3 linked regions of the Neodiprion lecontei genome follow. The protein of the gene in region 2 purifies or fractionates together with the protein of the main gene of each other region. This does not show direct contact. Links are inferred from orthologs where the notes say so. Each region holds a gene or a part of one and is shown on either strand. Other genes may lie near its edges.

Evidence for each region. The genes of interacting proteins can lie anywhere in the genome.
Region 1: the proteins of syntaxin-8 (region 2) and vesicle-associated membrane protein 7 purify together in Homo sapiens (affinity purification with western blotting; 3 studies listed by BioGRID and IntAct, with this or other methods). This does not show direct contact. The link is inferred for Neodiprion lecontei from reciprocal best matches to the Homo sapiens genes STX8 and VAMP7.
Region 3: the proteins of syntaxin-8 (region 2) and vesicle transport through interaction with t-SNAREs homolog 1A purify together in Homo sapiens (affinity purification with mass spectrometry; 3 studies listed by BioGRID and IntAct, with this or other methods). This does not show direct contact. The link is inferred for Neodiprion lecontei from reciprocal best matches to the Homo sapiens genes STX8 and VTI1A.

What each region holds. Positions count from the first base shown.
Region 1 is NC_060263.1:22,131,994-22,140,512, reverse strand, and holds vesicle-associated membrane protein 7, read right to left. Parts: upstream 6,300-8,519; 5' UTR 6,029-6,299; intron 5,855-6,028; 5' UTR 5,832-5,854; coding exon 5,812-5,831; intron 5,737-5,811; coding exon 5,526-5,736; intron 3,739-5,525; coding exon 3,601-3,738; intron 3,282-3,600; coding exon 3,123-3,281; intron 2,752-3,122; coding exon 2,659-2,751; intron 2,070-2,658; coding exon 2,001-2,069; 3' UTR 846-2,000; downstream 1-845. Other genes in the region: mitochondrial amidoxime reducing component 2, read left to right, coding at 8,392-8,395. UniProt on the Homo sapiens protein: Involved in the targeting and/or fusion of transport vesicles to their target membrane during transport of proteins from the early endosome to the lysosome. Required for heterotypic fusion of late endosomes with lysosomes and homotypic lysosomal fusion.
Region 2 is NC_060263.1:20,664,937-20,673,926, reverse strand, and holds syntaxin-8, read right to left. Parts: upstream 6,547-8,990; 5' UTR 6,256-6,546; coding exon 6,221-6,255; intron 5,945-6,220; coding exon 5,750-5,944; intron 5,339-5,749; coding exon 5,085-5,338; intron 4,959-5,084; coding exon 4,866-4,958; intron 4,702-4,865; coding exon 4,541-4,701; 3' UTR 3,505-4,540; coding exon of another isoform or gene 3,392-3,504; 3' UTR 3,052-3,391; coding exon of another isoform or gene 2,970-3,051; 3' UTR 2,882-2,969; coding exon of another isoform or gene 2,633-2,881; 3' UTR 2,556-2,632; coding exon of another isoform or gene 2,440-2,555; 3' UTR 2,284-2,439; coding exon of another isoform or gene 2,247-2,283; 3' UTR 1,056-2,246; downstream 1-1,055. Other genes in the region: ABC transporter G family member 20, read left to right, coding at 24-325; exosome complex component CSL4, read left to right, coding at 2,247-2,283, 2,440-2,555, 2,633-2,881, 2,970-3,051, 3,392-3,504. UniProt on the Homo sapiens protein: Vesicle trafficking protein that functions in the early secretory pathway, possibly by mediating retrograde transport from cis-Golgi membranes to the ER.
Region 3 is NC_060260.1:32,071,169-32,076,356, reverse strand, and holds vesicle transport through interaction with t-SNAREs homolog 1A, read right to left. Parts: upstream 2,817-5,188; 5' UTR 2,783-2,816; coding exon 2,689-2,782; intron 2,510-2,688; coding exon 2,451-2,509; intron 2,339-2,450; coding exon 1,988-2,338; intron 1,905-1,987; coding exon 1,746-1,904; 3' UTR 846-1,745; downstream 1-845. Other genes in the region: 60S ribosomal protein L34, read left to right, coding at 3,070-3,134, 3,476-3,673, 4,676-4,772. UniProt on the Homo sapiens protein: V-SNARE that mediates vesicle transport pathways through interactions with t-SNAREs on the target membrane. These interactions are proposed to mediate aspects of the specificity of vesicle trafficking and to promote fusion of the lipid bilayers.

The sequences.
Region 1 (8,519 bases), about 1.5 Mb from region 2:
TTGATATAATAAGTGAGAGATTAATGAGTATTTTTACCTGAAATTGATAAATTTTTTGAATGAAATTATAAATTATCAAGAAACTTTTCCGCTATTAAGACGACATACTGAAATTTACGAAATTTTGATTTCACATGCTCACTTTAAAATAAAAAAAAAAAACGAAAAACAATCGATTGATTTTTACGGATTCAATCGGGCCGTGTTCCGTAACCGTATAAGAATAATCACCGTCGTATCAATAATAACAGAGAATTAAAATTTATTTATTGAAACATGTATTGGACAAAATTTAATCTCCAACATAACTCGATCTAAGTTTATAACTTTACCAATATGGAACAATGTCAGGCAGAAAAATCCAATATCTCGAAGCCAACAGACTGAAGCAAAATTAGAATATGACCTAAGACCGGACTATTACTCACGATTTCTTTTCGTTCTTTAACTGAATCTTCGCAAGTAATTGAGAAATTTTCATCGCCTATTACGGCTGCTACCTTTTTCACCGTTTATGTCAGTTTTCTGGAACATGGCAATAGGCTTAGTTTCAACAGAAGTGATAGATAATGTCATTGTGTGTGAGTTTATAACAAAAAATTGCGATAATTTTTTATAGCGTACTTATAGTAAGTTCCTCCGCGATGATGTTTTAGGTATGCACGTATTTATTTATTTATATGAGAAATACTGATTCATTTCAAATTATTGTTTTTCATTTCTATTTTTTGTCCCCAACAATTCCACAGAAAATTTCAATAACTTTTGATCATTACGACGGTATATGTGGGATCAATTTTGGGATTCGTTAACCAAAGTTATACGTTCGAAAGAGCGACGACAAGTTCTGTGTAATGACGAATAATATTTTTATTACGATTCATTTGAGAGTATAATGCAGCGGAGTAGTCAAATATAATTTAGGTGGGTACACATGGTGGTCAGTTTTTGCAGTGAGGGTTGAGGGTCAATGAATACGCACGGAAGATGAGGTGAAAAAAGGGAGAAAATACGGCAAAAAAAATTTCGCGTCCTTAAATTCGTGTTTGATCTTGGTATCAGCTGCTTATATCCAAAATACCTATTGCTTAACCAAAATCAGACGTTATTTTCAAAACCTAAAAAATGATACAATCCTCAAATCCCGGCCTATATCAGCATCGTCTTTATCTCTTGAAACGCTACAAGTCTTGTATGAAACTTTTTTTTGTATCTCTTTTCCTTTCCGAGATATTCGCACGGGGTATTTGAAACCGACCACCCTGTACTACGTGAAATATAGCTTAAAATAATGTTTATACAGGCTGTAGTTACTTATGTTTGAGCATATATGCTTATGATATGATAATCACAGTAGTAAAATAATTCGAAGTTAACAAAATCAGTTATTACCTACAGGTATGTACATTACATGATAATATGCCTTTATTGCCCCACTTTGTAAAAGGGAACAAGTATCCAGTTCATTTCTTCCGTTCAACTTTTTATTCCACTTTACTATCTATTAACAATTGTTGAAAGAGATAAATTCACGGTTACTCAAATTTCTTACTATTTAGAAACAAAATAAATGGTTGTTATATCACAATAAGTCTAGAATCTTGTGGCCAATGATCGAAACGTAATGCTTTTGAACTTTTACGACGATATTATTCAGCATCCGTCTTAACAGTATGCAATAACGATATAGAAGAAAAAACAAATAAAAATAAAAAAAATAAAGATGATAAACAATATATAAAGGTATTTTTATTGATTGAATTTATAAATTAGTTCAATACCAAATATCGCTCTCCTCCCATCCTTCCTCCTTCCTTCTACCTTACCGTGTGCCATGATTTGAAAACATTTCCATCAAAAAACAGTGCAACAGATTCATTGTTTGAGTACCTTAAATAATTTGGCCAATGTCTGCGAAAACGCTTAACATGTTCATTCATTGGTCAAGGATACCGGCACTGATTTCATACAATCCAAATTTAGAATTGTCTAAAATATCTTCAATTACCGACACACTTCTGCCATGCAAGACCTCCACAAGCCATTGCCACAACAAAGTATATTACAACCTGGAATAAAAAAAATAATAAATACATACTGCTATAATCATTCAATTCAAATAAAATGCAGGGAATTTCATCAATCATAAAAATAACGACCCGGCATCAAAAAATTGATTTTACTGTATCTATTAAAATTTATCATAATTATTTAAGCAGAGTAATATACCTCCGACTTGGGAAAAATTACGGCGTTAAATTTTAGTTTGTATCCGATGATAAAGTTTTGTTCTACTTTTCGATAAACATTTTACGTTTGATTTTACGAAGGAAACAAACGATGGATAGGCAAAATTTTGGTTCTTTTAAGTGTAAATCTGAATTTCTTAATTCTCTTACTTTATTTATCAACATTTGTAACTTTGCAAGATATAAAATTTGTAACGTGGGTTCATGAACAAAGCAAAACTTCACGATCCTTGGATATGACCTAAGTCAAAGGCTCCAACGATCCATAGCTCAAGGGTTTCTCATAGGTAAAGTTTTGGGTAAAGCATGATGAACTGTTTGAATAAGAGCAGAATATACTTTTTATGTGTATGATTGGTAGAATTCCTTGTGACACATTAGACGCCTAATTGTTGAGATTTATACGTACGATCAAAACAAGAGCCACTATCACATAAAGCTTTATGTTCTTCCAAAAAAGGGAACGAGCCAGATTTCTGCTTGTTTTCCTGAACGTCACAGACTGCAAGATTAGTCAATTAGTCATTAGTGCAAATTTTACTTTTTTAATAAAAACTATCTATGGAGAGGAACAATTTGTAGAATACTGAAAAAATAAAAATTTTCTGTAATGGTTTACTTGGTGGCGCTGCCAATTCTTGTATGATTTTTTAAAGATTTTCGTGGGAATGATGAAGATGATATGCATATATAAATCTATCAAACTAAACAAAGTCGATAGTTCAGTTTTCAATGGCAATTACTTCTCAAGAATGACATTTCTGCAACAAGATATTGCATGTTATGAAATTCGGTTGAAACTCGGCTTTTTAATCATACCTTCCAGAAGAATTGCCCTATAGATAACTTATAAGAGTAGGGATTGAAACTTACACTAGCAGTCAAATTCTCAGTTTTGTTTATGAGCAATTCTAGTCTTTCCCCTCGTGCCGCAACGTTATCGATATTCTTCACCATAATGTCTTTAAGTTCATCAAGTTCCCCATGCACTTTGGATAGTGTATCGATATCTGTGGACTCGCTGTAGTGTTTCTGTTTAATGTTAAGAAAATGAACTGTTTTAATGAGCGTTGTCGCAGGTAATGAAAGTAGATTTTAAAAAAGTAGCATATTCACTAAAAAATTTATAACAAGTTGAGAACTAAGATTTATTGATGTCAAACTTAGTGTTTTCTGTTTTTTTCTACACCTTTTTCAATTGACAGTAAGAAACAAAGTTCTTTCAATTTTTGCACCGAAATTTTGTCATAGTTATTGGTATGTGCATAAAAACCACAATCTTTCAGAGAAGCTGAATCGCTGCTGTGATCTCAAAAATTTTCTCCACGGGACTCGAAAACTTATAACTTACCATTTCATTGGCCAGCACCCTCGAAAACTCAGAGTTCATTGCATAGGCTAGAGCAGTTTGAGCTCCATGTCCATAAGCTGCTTCAAATCGTCTCTTAATTTCATTCAAGTATAAGAAGGCACGCGACCGTTGAAATTCCTGAAATTCAAAGTCACCAATCAGTTAATCAACAGAAACATTTGCATTTGTACTAAGATTGGTAAATGTCGTATTATCCAGACAATACCATCTGTTGATTGTAGATAACTGATGCTTATAAAATAATTACCCATGAAATTACGAGCAATATCAAGTTTCACTGCTTTTATTATGACGACAATTGTGAAATTTGTAATAGTTTGTCCAAGGAAAATGATTAAAAAACAGTTTTCTTCAAGAGTATTAAAAACCATTTTGAGAAATGTATCGAATATTATCAGTCCAAGCGAAACAGATTTTTGACTCTGAAAATTTGATATTGAAGACTTTTGATTTGCTGATTGCTCTACATTTTTGCCCCCACCCACCTTGTAATTTACTCTTCTTTTTCTGTGTCATTTTTTAAGATTCCAGAAGAGATGAAGCAACTAATTTTAGGTGCATCCTCGCATATTTAACTTTGTCCATATCAAAGTACGAAACGTTCTCATTTGACCAAATATTCATGCAACTTACACTATAAAAGTTTTTTGGCAAACTTTTCTTCTAAGTTCAGTTACGTATCTATGTAGTTGAACTAATTTTAGAGAAAACCGGTGTGCACAGAGCAAAACTTCAAGTAAATTATTTTGTGATTACATATAGCCTGAGAACATATAACGTGGCCATGAGCTGATACATATGGGTCATTCTCAGTCATTCTTATTTTTCTGTAAAATCGGCATTTGTTTACCGACTTGCGGCAATTGAAGACCTTGAACGAACGTCGTTGAGTTTATAGTTTGTAATCAGCGCCACTCGAACTAGGTGCGCAGTCATTTTGTCATTTATTTCATTACTGACACTCTGTGGATACAGTTGAGAACGAGTGAATGGAGTCTCTGCACTGGTAAGTTTTATTTTAAAAATATTCGTCTAAAAATTTTAATTCATTTGTATATTCACTTCTTGTAGTGTATAGATTCTAAGTTTTCTTGGTTAATCGCGTACAATAAATACATTTGTCATTATTTCTGTTTTTGTTACTAAAAAGTATCTCCCTTGTTTATATCTCCCCTGTTTATATCTCCCCTGTCTTGTTAAGGGCCAGGGGAAAGACACGATATCCAGGGGGGATATGAAAACTTCAAACTATAATTTTTTATACTGAATTTTTTATACAGAATAAAGTTAATACTCAAAAGAAAAGTTGTTTTCTTTCATAAAATAACATTAAAATCCTTTCCCTGTTCACAAAGTATCCTACTCTGTATATCAAGTCTCTCCCCTGGTTTCTTATAAAACAAGATAAAATTAATAAATTGACTGACTGCCTTGCAGACACGTTTAGAATGATTGTTTTGATCGAAACATTATAAAATTTAATTAAATTTTCAAAAATTTTACCGTGCCGCGTTTTATCAATAAGCAATTTACCTCTTAAGTGAGAATGACCTATATGCAAACGTCATCTGTTGATGTAAACAAAAGTGGAAACAAAATATATGATATTCTAGGTACGTTTTATATATTCTGGTTCATTTATACTTGTAACAATCGGTTATTAAAAACAGAATTGAAAGAAACGCAGAGAAAGCTAGAATTGACATTCCCAGATCTCAAGGAATTACATTACAGAGGTGATACCAGCTTTGTTTCTTTGTTTCTAAATTTTTAAACAATTGCGCAGCTTTGGATAAAACCCCTTTCCCGATTGACTCGTATTTCGTGTTAGTAAAAGTTATTTTTGTCACAAGTAGTGGGTACTGGGCGCTATGTCAAAGTTCTTGGAAATACTCATTACGCACGTCATCCGTGATGCACATGTATACAATCCTGTTATCGCACATGTAGTGGAAGAGGTACGGCCCTTGGGTATAAGTTAGCTTGTCATTGTGCGGTGGTATTTTAGCCAAAATCCGTTCGGTCACTTCGGCAAAGTTTCCAGTGCGCGCCGCATGCTTGGCGAGCACGGTTGGCCCACGTGCCACGACACTGTATAGAATAGGCATTCTTTCTCTGTAAATTGATAAGAAAACTTGTCGTCAATTGGATAAGACATCGGTATTCTTAACCTGCATTAATCCGATGTACTTTTCATTTCCTTGAATCATGGCTCGCCGATCTATCGGTCAGCCTGGGAAAACAATATAGTCAACTTCATTGTCGCCACGAAAATCGCACAGCAATTCTGACTCACTCGCATCGTTAGTGAGGAATTCTCAGAGAGGTTCAATATCAACTCTGCCTGCTGTGAAAGTTAGTGACAAGTCGCTGGCACGTCTAACCAGAGACAGTGGCAATGACCTACCTTAATTTGTGAATGCGGAAATTCTCGAGGATATTTCCTCGCCTGGCAGCTCTCTACTCCGTAAATGACCACACCAAAGACAATGTGCGCACTTGTTGCTGACCGCGAGTTATAGATTGCATCGGTTTACGGTGATGGTTAATCACTCGATAACGACGAAAATTTACGTCAAAGTTCAAATGAGTCAAAACACACTCATCCACCTACAAAACGAACAAAGCACCAAGCATGCCAAGCACTGTCAGCAGGCATTCAAGGAGGAAAACTCACGTCACCCGCTTTGTTTTCTGGCCACAAGAGTGCGCGCTATCGACGCGTCATTCACCAGTTACGGTGATTTCGCCCGCATATAGGCAATTAAGGGTACATGCATTACGCGACGTATCCGCCTGCATACAGGCAATTCGATGTACTCTTTATTCTTAAACTTCAGTCTCGAGCTGTTGCTCTGTCATACAGGCGGAATCACCCTGTGTTAAATGTCCCACGGTACGCACATTTGGAAATACGTTATATATTGGAAGGTTCGGTGTTATCACCGACGATGACTAATCGTGTAGTTTGCTATATGTATATATCTATGTTTTTTATAGGCAAACATAAATATTCTTTCAGACCTAGCGAAAGGCTGCTCAGGGCGAAAAATAAATGGATTAAAATTTTGTACAATATTTAATCAGTTCTATAAGGAATCAGAACGCTTTTTCTGACACTGTAGCACAATCATTTTACAGAAACTCCTGAAATCAGACCCTCGTAAATACACTTCAAATCCTCTGTGCAATATTTATAAGTTGTGAAGTTCGATACTTTTACAGTAATATATATCAGAGAGTGAAATGTCGATCTAATAGTTCCAAGTTTCCCAACTGAATTTTGTCCCAAACTACATCAAATGTTTCAGGAATATTAGAGAAGTTTTTGACTAATGATTCAATTTTAAATGTAACTGAAATATTTCTAAATATTGTGTAAAATATTTCTAATACAGCTCTGACAGAATTTTTTTTGCGTAATACTGCATTCATATTGTAGAAATACTGGAATGTTTTTAAGGAATGTATGAACTGCAGTAACGTGCATACATTTGTTGTTTTGAGGACGTTAAGTCGAGGGCTGAACTCGATTTCCAGTACAATGTTTGCAGCGACGTAGGTGTAGAAAGTTATAAACTTGGATTGACTGTATCCTTAGAATATAGCATCATTTTCAGCCATTAGATAGGTAAGTTACTTCGGTTCAAAGCATCATGGGAGGATGGAAAATTAGAAATTTGAAACATTACCTTATTTCAACTAGTGATTTTAGTTCTTGTAATCCTTGCAGACCTTGGATCGATAATTTATTCACGTCAGCAATAATTTTTAAATATTTCGACAAGTTTGTGAGCTGCTAAGAAATTGATAGAAATATCTTTTGAGTCATACGTCGCGGGTTTTGTCGTTTTGGCTTTCTATTAGAGTAAGGATTAATATTTGTACTTCTGCCTAAACGCAAATATTTGCATCGCTGCGTCTTGACAAAATGTCACGAATCATGTGTTTTTATTGGTGGATCGCTTCGATAAGAAACACGATATATGCCATCCTGAATACTGCGCGTTCTAGACGTTTTTTAATTTGACCTGTACCGACGACCAGGCAGAGTTCTACATGCAAAACTAGAGCAAAAGTCATCACAACGAAGTTTAAAATCATTCATGCGATACATTATACCCAGCGTCCATAAAATAATTTAATGCGCGCAGATAATATATAACTTGCATTAATCCATTTCATCAGGTTTTTGCCTCAATCAAAAAAATTACGGTACTCGGTTGTATATATTTTTTTTTTTTTCAAATTAACACCGATCTATTTCTTTTAAAATGGTATATCCCTCACGTGTCTGGATTTCACGAAATTTTCACCTCTGGAAGATACTTCGCAACGCGTGTCTATGTCTGCGGTTAAGTTATGTAGCACGCAGCGATGTTTTGCTCTTGGTAAGAACAGGGAGCGCCGTAAATAAGCGCAGTGCGTCAGATAGCGCATATATCGAGATAACGGTGCCGCGAGTCTTTCAGGCCGGCCCGCGGCGTAAACTCGTGTAGATCTACATTTTTCCCACCGCCAGTAACTGTAGGCGCGTGCTATTAAGCCGACCGAAACTTGAGGAGTCCCTCGGCGCCGCGTAAAATTACGCTAGCCAGTTCGCAAAGTCACATGCGCCGCTTGTAACTCGTTAGTCACATTCATGCAAGCCCGTTGTTTCGTCCACCGCCGATAGTGCAGTGCCGTGCTCCTCCTTAACCCGGCTTCACACCTCGGGGTGTGGATGTTTGGATTTTGACGTCTCCGGTGAAGACTGACATCCTCGTTTGAATGGGTAAGTCAGAATACGTCCATTTGAATTTTCGTTCCTTGCAGACGTGACAGATCAATGAAAAAAATGTCGAATCCCAGATCACAACACTTGTACCAGGCTCACATGTCGTCGAGAGGTTTTATTT
Region 2 (8,990 bases):
CATAACATAATTGCTATCCGCAGGTTTCGTGGTTGCCTGTGCCTGCGACAACGAACGAAGCGCAACTTACATGGCGATGGGTTCTTTTCTGCCAATCGTCATGCTCTGTGGGATCATTTGGCCAGTCGAGGGGATGAATCCGGTCCTCAGATACATCAGCTTTATCTTGCCGTTGACGAAGAGCACAGAGTCGATCAGGGCAATGCTCGGTAAAGGATGGCCCATATCTCAGCCAGCCGTTTACGACGGTTTCATCTCCACGTTCCTGTGGATAATAATATTCCTCACATTATCGATATTGCTGATTAAGTTCAAGAAGGGTTAATTATGTAGGTAAATCAATTGGCGATCCTCCTCATCGCACCCCATCCTCATTGTACTTTGTTTAACTAGCGCTCATCTACAAGCGACGAAACTATCAAGGCGTTTATTTAAATCATGCAAATTGTTATTTCTATGGTAGAACCTAGCTTATCCGACATTCGATTATCCAAGGTTCCGCATTATCCAAGAGGCCCATCTCATCCGAGCACTCTGCATTCACCAATGTGTATATCTTCGGATAATACGGAGAACCTTGGATGAAACTGAACAATCCACTGTGCCTTATGTGTATGAAATAGTTTTGTGTCGCATCTTTATTTGAATACGGATAAACTTGTAAAAGTTTCTTGCGATTTGTGACATTGCGAGCAATAATCGCTGCAGTTCCGATTCTGGAAGCTAGGGTAAAACATCGTAATGGCATGGATTGTACATGTTTTCCGTATTATCAGAAATTTCACGCATCCGAGTTATGCTCTCCCCATATTACCTCGGATAAACCAGGTTCTATTGTATTTCTATCTTCTTTTTTCACATCAACTTCGATTTGCTATTATTTAATTTTTCTTCGCAACAGCATCGATAATGCGATTTAAAAGATATTTTCGACCGATCAATTATTGTATAAATTATGTGATTTACTGATATAGCGGATTATTTATAGGGTATCACGTATCTACAGTCGATTCAATAAGTTTTATGTATACACATATCCATTTTTGTTTGATACGTATAAAAAAAAGTATTCAACGCATCTCAAAGTGACGATGTTGTTCCAACGTGTGTGAATAATATAGTATGTAATTCAACAAAAAAAATTGTACATTGAAACGCAATTGAATAGATATTACTATACCTATTATGTGTACTTGTGAGCTATGTGGACTCCTGGAATCGAGCTTATATTTTGTATAATATAACAATGTGTAATAAAGAAGGTAATTAATTATATAATCATAATAATGCGTTTGAAAATATGTATCTGAGATACTAATGTAACCCACTGTATACATTTTTTCAAACAATTACTTCTATGATCATGTCATTACTTGTTTATACAGGTGACTTTCTTTTAGTTCAATTCAATAGTTTGTGTAGTCTGTGACTTTTAAGTTATAAGTAGAAATATGTTAATTAATATGTACATTTGATAATTACGTAATGTTGTAGCATTGCAGCGAATAAACTGTCATAAATGTTATGTGTCAATTATGCGACTTGCTGTTAGTATTCAACAGGTTTTCCGCGTATGGTGGAGTAAAACTTTCAGTGCAAGCACCATAAATTTTAAACAACAGAAGAACATCGAGCGGTCTGAAGTAATGTACGAAACCTTTTCAAATTAACGCGGACTTCCGGTTATACAAACTGGCGGGAGAGCAATTTAAAAAATTTTAATCACTAATTATTTTTAACAATCGCAACGAAACTCGATCAAATTTGATCAACGATTTCTTGGAATCGGTTCACATCTTGCGAGATTTATAAATTGGAATAATTTTCTATTGTTAGAATTTCGAACATTGATGACGGAAACTTATTAATTTGTAGAAATGAAGGAGGCGGCACTTTTGAATTGTTCATTATTTTCAACCTTTACAATTTTAACATTGTCATCCAGGTATTAAGAGCTAATTACTTAACCCCTTTTCCGCGGTATTCCGAGACTTGACTGAAGTCAGTCAACGTTCCAAATGATTGGTGCGACGATGATTTACATGGATTTACATTTAAATCATATCGATCAATTGATCATTTGCGATTTCGAGGCTGACAAAATTCTGTTTACAATCCAACCAATCCAACCAATCCAACTACAATATGACAACCCAACCTAACCTAATTTCAAACGTGCTCCACATGTTGTCACCGTTGTCGCAATTTGAAAAATAATAATAAACTTACATAGATTCAAAACTGAAATGGACGAAAGAAATGAGCCAATAGTGTGTGTTCCAGGTAAGGATGAATGAATTACGAAATCGATAAACATTTCCCAAGTTTTCTACGCAGAAATGTCCCAAATGAATTGGCCCGTCCTATCCTCAATTACGTTTTGTTTGTATGCAAATTAAAGGTGGTTAAGACTCATGATAAATTTTTATTGCAATCCAGGTCAGAGGCTCTGTTTGTCGGACAAAGTAAATGTTCCAGGACCGGGAACTTACGAGCAGCACGGATATATTTATTCAAAATTAGCAGGAGTGGTGAACTTGGTTAAAGATGAACACGTACGATAAGTTTTAAGATATTTCACGGTCGCTTGCCTTCAGATTAAACATCATTTCTCACTTTCTATTATCAATAGAAGAGCACAGTTGAGGTGCACGGCATAAGAGAACAAAGCATTGTCCCAGCTCCCGGAGACATTGTAACAGCCGAGGTAATGGTCGTTAATCAAAGGTTTTGCAAATGCGTTATAAAATGCATTGGGGATGTGGTTTTGACCAGACCTTACAGAGGCATTTTAAGAAAAGAAGACGTCAGGGCTACGGAAAAAGATAAGACTGAAATGTACAAATCTTTTAAACCAGGAGATATTATTCTGGCTAGAGTTGTATCCTTTTTCTTTGAAAATTTTTTTCTACCGTTCGTTATCAATACCGCAGTTTCATAGTTGGCTACTTTTCCCATGCAAAATTTAGTTACCTCTCACCGAAGTCCATACTTATCAACTTTCCACTGCCGAGAATGAATTGGGAGTCGTTATCGCCCACAGCGAAGAGGGTAAGCAGAATTATTTTTTTATAGCGGTAGAAAAATGTCAAAGAATATATACGCTATAAAATATTCAATAGCTCTCAGCTCTCAGTTTGAAGATATGTAAAACAAAAAATCAGCACAATACAGGTTTTCATCTTTGTGTCATAACCATTTACACTTCATTTATCAAAATGAAATCGTTTGGAAAAATTACCGCCTTAGACTCGAAATGGAAGTTTTATTGTACTTTTTAGGGTGAATTGAGATTAGTTGCTGTGAAAACAAAATATCACTATTTGGAAATTATGGATTTTGTTGAGTAAAGGGTTAATGTAGAAAATTCCTCGTTTTTTTTTTTATACAGGTGTATCTATGGTGCCTGTAAGTTGGACGGAAATGCAGTGCCCAGAGACCCTAAACAAAGAATTGCGCAAAGTAGCTAAAGTTGTACCGGAGCATATCGTTAATGAAAAATAAAATAAATGTAAATTGCATTCATAAACGGACTATTCATTTTGCCAATGTGCCACAATGAATAGCATAGTTGGATGATTGTGTAAACTGGGTTAAACATATAGAATCAATATTGTCTCAATTTCTATTGAAATGCTTATAAGGAACACTAATTTTTGTTGGAATGTCAAGTACTTTATATTTATATATATACATATATAAATACGTACTCATATATTTGGAGTAATTTTTTATGTACATACATTGTAGACAGCTTTTGCCTGTCGAGTTGCAATAATACTACAAATTACTTATCGTACATTAGAGAAAAAAAATTACACTTCACTAGGTCATTCACAAGGTCAATCTCAAACTTTACTCCTCAATCCATTGAGTAATTCAATTCTTTTGTTATTGCACATAAAATGCAGAGTTCACAGAAAAAATATCCTGGAAGACTCACTTGCTGCAATTTTTTTCCTCCCATAATTCAGTCTTGTTGTGTATTGCAATTTACAAAATCCACAAAGAATGACCTTCGTTTCTTTGTGTTAGATCCCCAACACGTTTAATTTTCGTTTATTCTTTTCAGTGACAGTCAACTCAAAATACTCTCAAGCATTCTGTAACGATACTAACATGTTCGATTTCTTTTCCCAACAAGGATACACTGATAAATCAAACCTGGCTACTATTTGAATGTGGTGAAAAAGACCAGTGAAATGCGATGGAAAGAGTTTCAGGCGAGAGAAATATCTATAATATATTTACAAATAATAGCATAAAATCTAATTATAAACGGAATAATTGGGCTGCACCGAATTGATTTACTTTACAGCCGCGTACAATGGTTTTCACAAATTTTTGAAAACTTCCAATGCGAGTGTGCTAATTGAAAAGAGTGTGAAATCGTATATACGATATTGTTTGTGAAGTTGCCATTTCGATTATCTGAAGCAAGGGGTGAACAAGAAATGTAATTTTACTTTCGATATCACGTGTGTTGAATATACCGTGCTGATTATTATATATTGTGAATATAAGCCTCTATATGTTAATTTTAAACTACGGCAACTGCAATTATGCTAATAAATAACAAGATGATAACAATCCAATAACCGCACGTTCGATCTTTACGATCAATTATACCGACTTGGCGAGTTCCATTGATTAATCGTTGATCGGTCCTCTCCATGTGATCGGCCAGATCATCGATTATTTCTAAAACAAACGGCGAAATGAACAAACTAGTGTGAAAAAATTCGCGCATAGGAATAATTAATTTTCCGATATCTATTACTGGATTGTTCAAACCCACAAATTGTGATGGTATACAATTTTCATTGCGAATATGCAACATAAAGATAGTGAATCAAAATACTCACCATTCTGATGATCGACTTCATTATTAATGGTGTTTGCGATATCCTTTTGTCGAGAAATAACTTTTGACAATGCTTCCAGACCTTCATCTTGTTCTAATAAAGATTTAAACATGAATAACTTCCGATCTAAGAATTCTGTTTTTCATTTATAATAGTTGACAGTCACATTTGTGACAGTAAAAACTACAGAATAAATCTTCGCCGAGCTTGATATAATACCTTGCAAAAGTCGTAACTTTTGAACTTTCAAATCTTCGACAGATACTTGAATGTCAATAGGCTGATCGTCATCTTCTTCTAGTCCCCAGCTGGTCGTTCCCATATCGGCAAAAGCTGAAGAATTGGGTTGCATGAGTCTGGCTCGATCAGAGGCGAGGCTACTGCTGCGTGCATTGTAGAGCTGCTGAAGCTGCACGTCTTTGCTTTGCAGCTGTTCGATCTGACGCCATCTTCGTTCAGCTTCTTCCCTAGTTCTGATTTGTAACTTAGCTCAGGAAGTTCATACGTTATAATGGAAGAATTGTCTTTACCATAGTTACGCAAATTAAGGGCAGGAGTACAATTTCCGCAGCGTGAAAATTTGATGGTAAATTTTGGGTTTTCGGGGAGAAATAATGCAAAGTTAAAAAGTGCTAAAAGTTGATATTTGATTATCTTATGAGATATCAAGGCCGAACTTACGCTAACCTTTGGACTACAACAGTAACCTTCGGCGTTTTTCGTACAGAGTGGTATGTTGTGGTTTTGCTTATTCCTCTTTAAAGAATCCGAAACGGCAGATATTATTTCTTAAAATTTCCCTTACATTGGTGAAAATATCACGAATCAATGGTCAAAAACTGCTGCGACGAATATCGTATTATCCTCAAATTCGTCAAGGATACATCGATCGCATTTTAAAGTCCTCGTCGACCTTACTTTTCAGTTGCTCTACCTCTCCGCTGTACTGCTTCATGCGCAGGCGAATATTAGCTGACAAACTGGCATAATTCTGAGACGTTCGTGATTCCCTGTTGCGAAGTGTCAACTGTTCCATAATCTCTCTGAACAGCTTATCACACGACTCATATTCGGTGAGCCTAGTATTTTTTGAGTAAACAAAGAATGTTACGAAAAAGGATTGAATATATTTTCAATTTTTTTTTTCTATCCGACTTTATCTGGTAAACTTTTGAAACCAATTATGCGATACGACATAACCTAGGTTATTCCTTGTCAGGCATTGAATGGCATTCAGCAACATTGTTTTAACGTGAAAGACATAAAAATTCAACGGGTGCTGAGATTGAGAGCTTGATTTTATTACTTATGAAAATATTTTTGAAATAATAACTTTATAACGTATGAATACTTACCACGGATCACCGTCTTCGATGCGAACCAGCGCCATTTTTTATGAACTGTCACTTATGAACACACACACTAGCGCCATTTTTTATGCACTGTCACTTATGAACACACACACTAGCCCCCTGACACACGCTGCCGTTGACTGAAGACTATAAAGACAGTTACCCCTGGATAAATTTTTGTGTATCAGTTTTCAGCGGGCAAGTGGGCCCAGGTGGGCCTGGGAGCGTAGGAGGTTTCTGCTCTATCGACTCTACCGAACGGGCTTGTACCGACATTCGTGGCAGCTAAAGTAGTGTCTGACCTGCCTGGTTGGTGATCAGAGCCGAAGTGATAAGACTAGCCGCGCCCCCCCCCGCGCCGAGCTATTTTTCCCCCACCGCCGCGCCGCTGGCCTAGACGGCCTGCTGGTAGGACCCGACGCGCCTTCCGCGGTCGCTTTCCGAAGTTTTCTCTCTCGCTCGCTCCTACGCTCGCCCGCCCATCGGCCCCGGATCGGTCTTGCGACCTCCTCGTGCCGTTTAGGGTGACCTGCATGGGCTTGAGAAAAACGAATTTCCCGGGAGGTCTATAGCTTTCAGGAAGAAACTCCCCAAAGCTGAATTGGCGTTACGTACTCGATGACACATATCATGTGTTCGAGCACGTTCGTGGGCGAGCGTCGAACCGCGAGAGAGACGCGCAACCTTTTCGGTCGCTCGAATCCACTAATTTGGAAATGACTATCCGTCATTCTCGGAGCCAGAACTTGATTCTACTGGCTCTTGCGCAATCAGACATGTCGTCCTTTCGTCTCAACAATTGCCATTATTTTAATTTTCGTAAATTAACATGTACATCAGATGCTGATATAGTTTCCAATCACTATTCTATGCGATATTGTAACATTAATGCTTGCTCGTAATAGAGTCGTCGCCTATGATATTTCGTGTTCTATCGTGTTACGTTTCAACTTACAAACTTAACATAATAATCTTTCATCGTAACCAATTAAACTTATCGTAACATAAGCATAATTATCCAAACCAGCTTACTAGATCTCTACCCTTCCCTGCACCCTTGTATTGAAATACAACGAGCATGATAATAGCGCCTAAAGCGGCCAATCCTTGATTTATCGGTGACGACAATAAATTAATGACGACAATAAGAAATTAAACATTAAATTTTCTTCCAACTTAAACTTGAATCATTCTAACCGAGCGATCGAGATCAGCCCGAGAACAGCCGCATCTTCGCGTTTTCACCGTAGCAAAAATTTTATTTAGAAACGCGATAATTGCGGAGTAAATAAACAAAATCGAAAACTATCAGAAATTTTTTTTTTTTTTTTGTTCTCTACGTTTCTAACACCATATCTTCATCGACACAGTCATTATTTTATTCCAATAATACGGATATGCCTTTTCAATGTGACATAATTTTCTTAAAATCGCTTGCCCTCATTTCTCTGGATTCGACCACATTGTCTCGCAGAATTAAATACAATGAATTAATTTGAGACATGAAAAATTGTCATAATTATCGAAATGATTATATTTGTTACAATCATTATATAAAAACAACAGTTTCGATCCCTGGCTCCGTCGTTAATTTTTCAAATCACCAAAAATTTTCGAATTTACATTCTCTAGCATTTTTCTTCTCGCTAAAATAGACATGACGTATTTTCATATCACTTCATAGACGGCCGGGACCGTCTTACATGGCTTTTAACAAGTAGTGTCATACCCTTGTAAACATGTCACATACATACAAAGATCTATAATTGTGCTTTTTGAGAGGAATTTCATAATATATACTTATTATTAGTTCCTCATTCGATTGAATTGTATGATATAAAAGATAATGCAATAGACTGTGACGTAAATACTTGAAACTTATACTTGTGTTCACTGTTTAGTATATTGATGACGTACCTGTGTTGTAAGTTATTAGCTACTCGATTGCTCCCGAGCATTTCCATGGGACGCCACGAAGAGGCCTACTGACATTGCCGCCCATAGGTCGATCAGCTCGGTCATCCCCGTGAGGAGACGCGAAACCGCGAACTAAAAATGTCAATCAGCTCGATTAGTCCAGGAAACGGGTAGAAAAAAGGGCAGTTTTATGTCACGGCGTGCAGAAAGGATGAGACCTGCGGATTCTGGTAACGATTATAGCCCACATGAACGCCTACTACTTTCCAACCAAAGATTTGAGTTTCTAAATTTTTTACACGCGTTTAAAGTTTTGAAAAACAGGTTTTCTACTAGGATCTCCTAAACTATTAATTGTACAGAAAAAAAAGTTGCATAACTTTTTGTAGGTCTTAGAAAGACGAACAATTTCGTTGTTGGAAAATTAAAAAACCAGAGGTGCCAATAAAAAGAACTCGAGTGAACAGCTTAGAATACGTAGACTTGTAAATATTGATTGTAAAGACTTGTATGTTTAAGAAAACATTGTTAATATTTAAGTAAAAATGTCTGTAGCTATTATTTAGTACATTAAATATAAAAATATTGTAACATTCGTGAAATGAAGAAAAAAACGTGTCTGAATGTGTTTGATTTTTTTCCAACGTTTTTTATGTTTTATTCTGGTATTATTTGTAACGTATTCTCATAATAAATAAGCCATTGTAACTGATAAAAAAGTTTTATAATTATTTTAGACCTTATTTTGTCCTTATTTTATATTATGTCCCTTATTTTGTCGATTTTTTTCCAAAACGAAGAGACGCGTACTGCAATAACAATGTATTTTTAGCAGATCTTTTTTTTTGTGAGTTCT
Region 3 (5,188 bases), on a different chromosome or scaffold from region 2:
CTTCAAGATGTTGACCGGCTCCTTTCTGTACGTACGAAATATTCAACTCTTCTATTATTTCAATTCCTCTAACTCAATCCTCGGTGTATCTGTAATATACATACATACATTCACACATACCTGCTTCGTTAGTTGAAATTAGCCTGGGTGAACCAAACCGGTAGAGATCCTTGAAAGATCGTGCTATTAATATACATGATCAAACGACGAAGTGGAACAAATTTGAAAATATTAAACAAGTAAAAATAAATCCACTCAACTCTGTTACTATAATACTTGAGTGGGCTAATTGACGCGTTGAATCGATTAAATTTGATTAATGCATATTCGCATGGAATACGTTAAAATAAAACGATCTAACGATAAATGTTCTATATGCGTAACTAGAATTCATTACAAATGACAGATTATTTGCTGCTTCAGTAATTCATCGACGATTTTGTGAAGGATGGGTGTTTACAGTTTGTACAAGATATGTAACATGTATCTAATAAATCCCAGCTGCGTTTAAACAAATTTTAAGGTAAGCAAATTTTCATACTTGTCATATATAACATATACATACATATAGGTATATTGCTATATACATATATGCGTAGAAATGTAGGGAATGCAATGAAATATACGAAGTTCTACTAAAAATTTTTAGTCATCACATTTTCAATTTGCTTCTTCGCGATGTTTTGTTCTACACATTTTTCTAGAACACCAACTAGCATGGAAGGCAATGACTGTATTGTATATCTTTCTACTTTTTTACGTTAGAGGAAAAATATAAGAATCAGATTACAATATGTTACCCAACTATTTCAAATAAAGACAGGTGAAATGTCAAAAATAATTGCTTCAGTGAGTTACTCCAATTACATCAGTGAGTTATTAATTTAATACTTACACTTTGCAAATAGGTCTTCATTATATCTACATTAAATATGTTTACAATCAATGGTATTTTAATAAATTAAAATTAGTTTCACCACCTGCTGTAACGAATTCGATATCTGGTCGATTCAAGAACACACACCAGTGATGCAAGACGAGAATTGAAATAACACGAAGTAAGGTTGTTTACACATCAAAGCGTGGTTGCTACAAATGTATACCAAATTCATTACAGTATGCAGGTCTACATGTTTCGAACTTTGGCAATAACCCAAGACGAAAATACATAAAACAGCATCCCCATGTTATCTAAAGTGTAGTAACTATCAAATGCGACAATAGGTATATAAATAAGTGATATAAATAAAAAGTATGGCAAAGTCGCATATTCAAGAACTCTGTGCAAGAATCAGATGTCCAAAAATAGGCAGTGCATTATAGAAATCTTCTTCAATTTCGTTTTACCTATATATACAAATCTAGGCGAGCTATGAAAAACCCTGATCATGCATCACGCAAATCGAGATATTATAGATGACCTCAACAATCGCAATCCCATATGTATTTCAATATTAAAACGGTGGAATGAAGGTACATTCGGCATATTAATTCCTAAACAAGCTAGTCAATGCGACGTTTAAGCTTGTATTAAATCGAACAGATAAATTGAAAGATAATTCTGTAGAAACCGCGGCAAACTATTTTGGCACGACCTACTTGTAAGCCTGCTGATTGTTGATTAGCGACTTAATTTAACTTCAATAAACGTAGATTTTATACTGGCGGAGAAGTTATTACGTTAAGTAATTATCATTAATGTTACTTGATCTGAAAGATGCGTGACACCGTGTTATATTGTACATTTAACCCTTAGACTTGAAGCTATAATATACTACGAAGCATGCCACTATTGTTAGTACGAGGGCAACAATTGCAAGGGCTATCCTTTGTTGAACAGCCCTGAAAATCATCCCCGATAGCAATCGAGATCCTCGTCCGAGCTCCGCATCAGTTTCTCGTAACTAAAAATACATATTTACGGTCAATAAATGCTGATAATTGTAGGAGGTTGGCACTTAATTATTCAGAAATCCAATATACCAACCCTTCCTCTAGTTCTTTGTATGGTTTCTCTCTGATCATGAAGATCTTTTAGAACCTGAGAACCAACCTCTTCACTTTCCAAAACCATGCGGTAACCGTTTTGCAAGTTTCTCCCTGTTCTTTCTATCCTATCAGAATTATCTAGTAATCTCTGTCTTTGATCTATTGTTATACTGGTATCCCACGATTCGTCTCTACCCCCCTCAGCTCCTCCATCGTCCTTAGGTCGTTTAGCGGACTGAAATTCTTGATTCAATCTCTTTAGTTCTGCTCTATGACTCTCTACGCGACCCCTAAGTCGATCGCGAGCTGTGCCACTCATTCCCCGTACCTCCAGCTCCATTTGCTCAAGCTAAGAAAAGGAGTCAAATAAAAAATGAGTTCAATTAAACAAGATTCTTGTTACGTTTTCACGTAGTTTGGGCATCGTCACCTGATAAAAACACGGTAAATATCTTCCTTACCAACTCTTGAGCCTCCTCAACTTGCCGGTCAACATCTTGAACGAGCGCCCTTTTTTCACCTGTGAATTAAATCATGGATGACGTATGCGTATCACCCGAGATGTGATTTGTATCGATTATCATTTGTCGCAAGACCGCTAGATAGCGACCGTTTGTCACGTCACAATCACCGTATTTATATAAACTCAACGTTAAAATAACGTGATTATTTCAAGGTACACAACGAAAATATCCTTACCGCTATTCACTATCGCGATCCTACTTATTTTAGCGGTGATATCAGCTGTCAAAACAGCGTATTGTTGCTCGTAGTTGTCAACGAGCGTCGCCATCTTTATTTTTAGTTCGAAAACTCGACACCCTCGAGATCGACTGCGGCGCTAACGACACCGTTAACGAATCGTCTACTGCGTAAAACGTCGCTTCCTTTTCCGGTTAGGTCCGACAAAGGTTTGTCCGTATTTTCATGTATTTATTAAATATCCAAGTTTGTTCGAATAATCGTGCGATTATGCGTGCACCCAGTGACTCCCGGATACCCTTTCATGTTTAATCATGTATATCGTCCACATATTTATTGCCACCTTTAAACGATCGTACTTTATTTTACAGAGCCAAAATGGTGCAGCGACTCACCTATAGACGACGGCTGTCGTATAATACGAAAAGTAACAGGAGACGTGTGTAAGTGTTTTCACATATCAAATTGCCTCAAAGCTATTATTCCCCTAAATATTCCCGCTTGAATAAGTACACATACGACGGTTAAACTCATCGTTAATATAAGATTTTCTCTTGTCCGTTTAAGTGAGGTTATGTTTTGGTTATCGCTACCCGTTTCTCTTGAGTCTATCCACGTGCGTACGACAGTTATTGTATCGACCTTAACACGGCTTTTTCTGTTGAATATTAAGGATGGGTTTTGTTGACTAAATTTACGCCAGACCTAGCAAATGATGTTTTCTATGGAACAATTTTACATCACCTATCATATCACTTGTGATTTATCGGCTTCTTTCTTACAGCGTTCGTACGCCTGGTGGTAAACTTGTTTACCAGTACCTGAAGAAACCTAAGAAGATCCCAAGATGTGGACAATGCAAAGATAAACTTAGGGGTATCCAGCCTGCCAGGCCAATGGAACGCTCACGTATGTGCAGGCGCAAAAAGACAGTAAAGCGTGTCTACGGCGGTGTCCTTTGCCACAAATGTGTCAAGGAAAGGTGCGTAGTCGTTAACAGACATGACCGAATTTAAAAAGACTCAATCGTACACATTATTAAGTATAAAAGATACTATAGTCAATCTTTCCAAACTCAATAAACTATCACCAATTTTAACTAATATCAAAGTCTATGCAGCCTTGATGCAAAAATGTCGCAGTCAGTGTAATTCTACATGTAACTTGAAAAAACTTTTTGATTTCATGTGAAAACAACTCCAAGAAATTTATTACTGCGATTCGTAGTAATTCAATTATCAAAATACATTTCTGGGCATCATTGTTGCGCAAAATCAAACTTTTTTGGACATTTGTATTTGGTAATGCATGTAGAATTGTGCTGATTATGGTATTTTCAAATCAGTGATGGCGTAATTTTGATAATAAGTCAAAATAAATGACGTTTTACACAGCTGATGAAAACTGACTATAACAACCTCTTAACCTAATGACTATTTGTCATTTGAAATATTCCACCAATATTATAGAAAATTCTATAATTACACACACGCTATATTATCTTGCGTAAAAATTTCACAATAAATTATTTTCATAATTTATAACCCTTATGGTCAAGTTTTATATCAAAGCTTGGTTCGGTATTGCAGTTACCTGCCTAACTATTGAAGTTAGGACATAATGTTTTTTACACATACTTGCCACTTCGGTTCATTATTTGTTGTTTACTCTTACTGAATATTACTCAATCTCAAATTCGTAGTACGGTGGTGATTGTATGTAATAAAATCATTAATAACATTTTAGTCTACATTTCTTTACTGTGTTTCAGAATTTATTTATTCAGATGATGTTTTTATCAACAGCGATTGATTTATTTTACTCTGTTCACTTGATCTCGCATAATTTCCGTAGTTCGATTCTAATCAGAATATAGGTTCATATTTTCACATTTTTGCTTGAATTGAAACATCGAAACGAAACGTAGAATCCCAAGTTGTAAATACTACTGCGTTTACTTTAATGTGGTGTTTTTTTGTTTTAGAATCGTTCGTGCGTTTTTAATCGAGGAACAGAAAATCGTCGTGAAGGTAATCAAAGCTCAACAGGCTTCCAGCAAGCCCAAGAAGACCGATAAATAAGCTGTTCATCTTTTATTAAACGAAAAATAAAATTAAAAAAAATCTACTGACGTGGTTTACTTTTTTGCCCTTTATAATTGTATGTACCACGGCGTTCCATACCGGTGGCATGCTACGTCGTAATTTGTAGTTACTTAAGGAGAGCTACTAATGAACATACACGCGAAGAGGGAGATGCAATCTCGAACCTTTTCACTAAATATTGTCGCAAGGTATTATTTTTTTCTGCAACACATTGGGCTCCCCTAAAATTTACGTACACACTACCAAAATCGTTACCCCTATTTCGTACGTATCTAGATGGCTTAATTTTACGCGAAATAAATATGCAGATGTGTTAATACTTACGACACTGTACGATACTTTGAAAGATTTGCCTCGTTTTATGTCGAATACTATGTTTACACGCATATGTT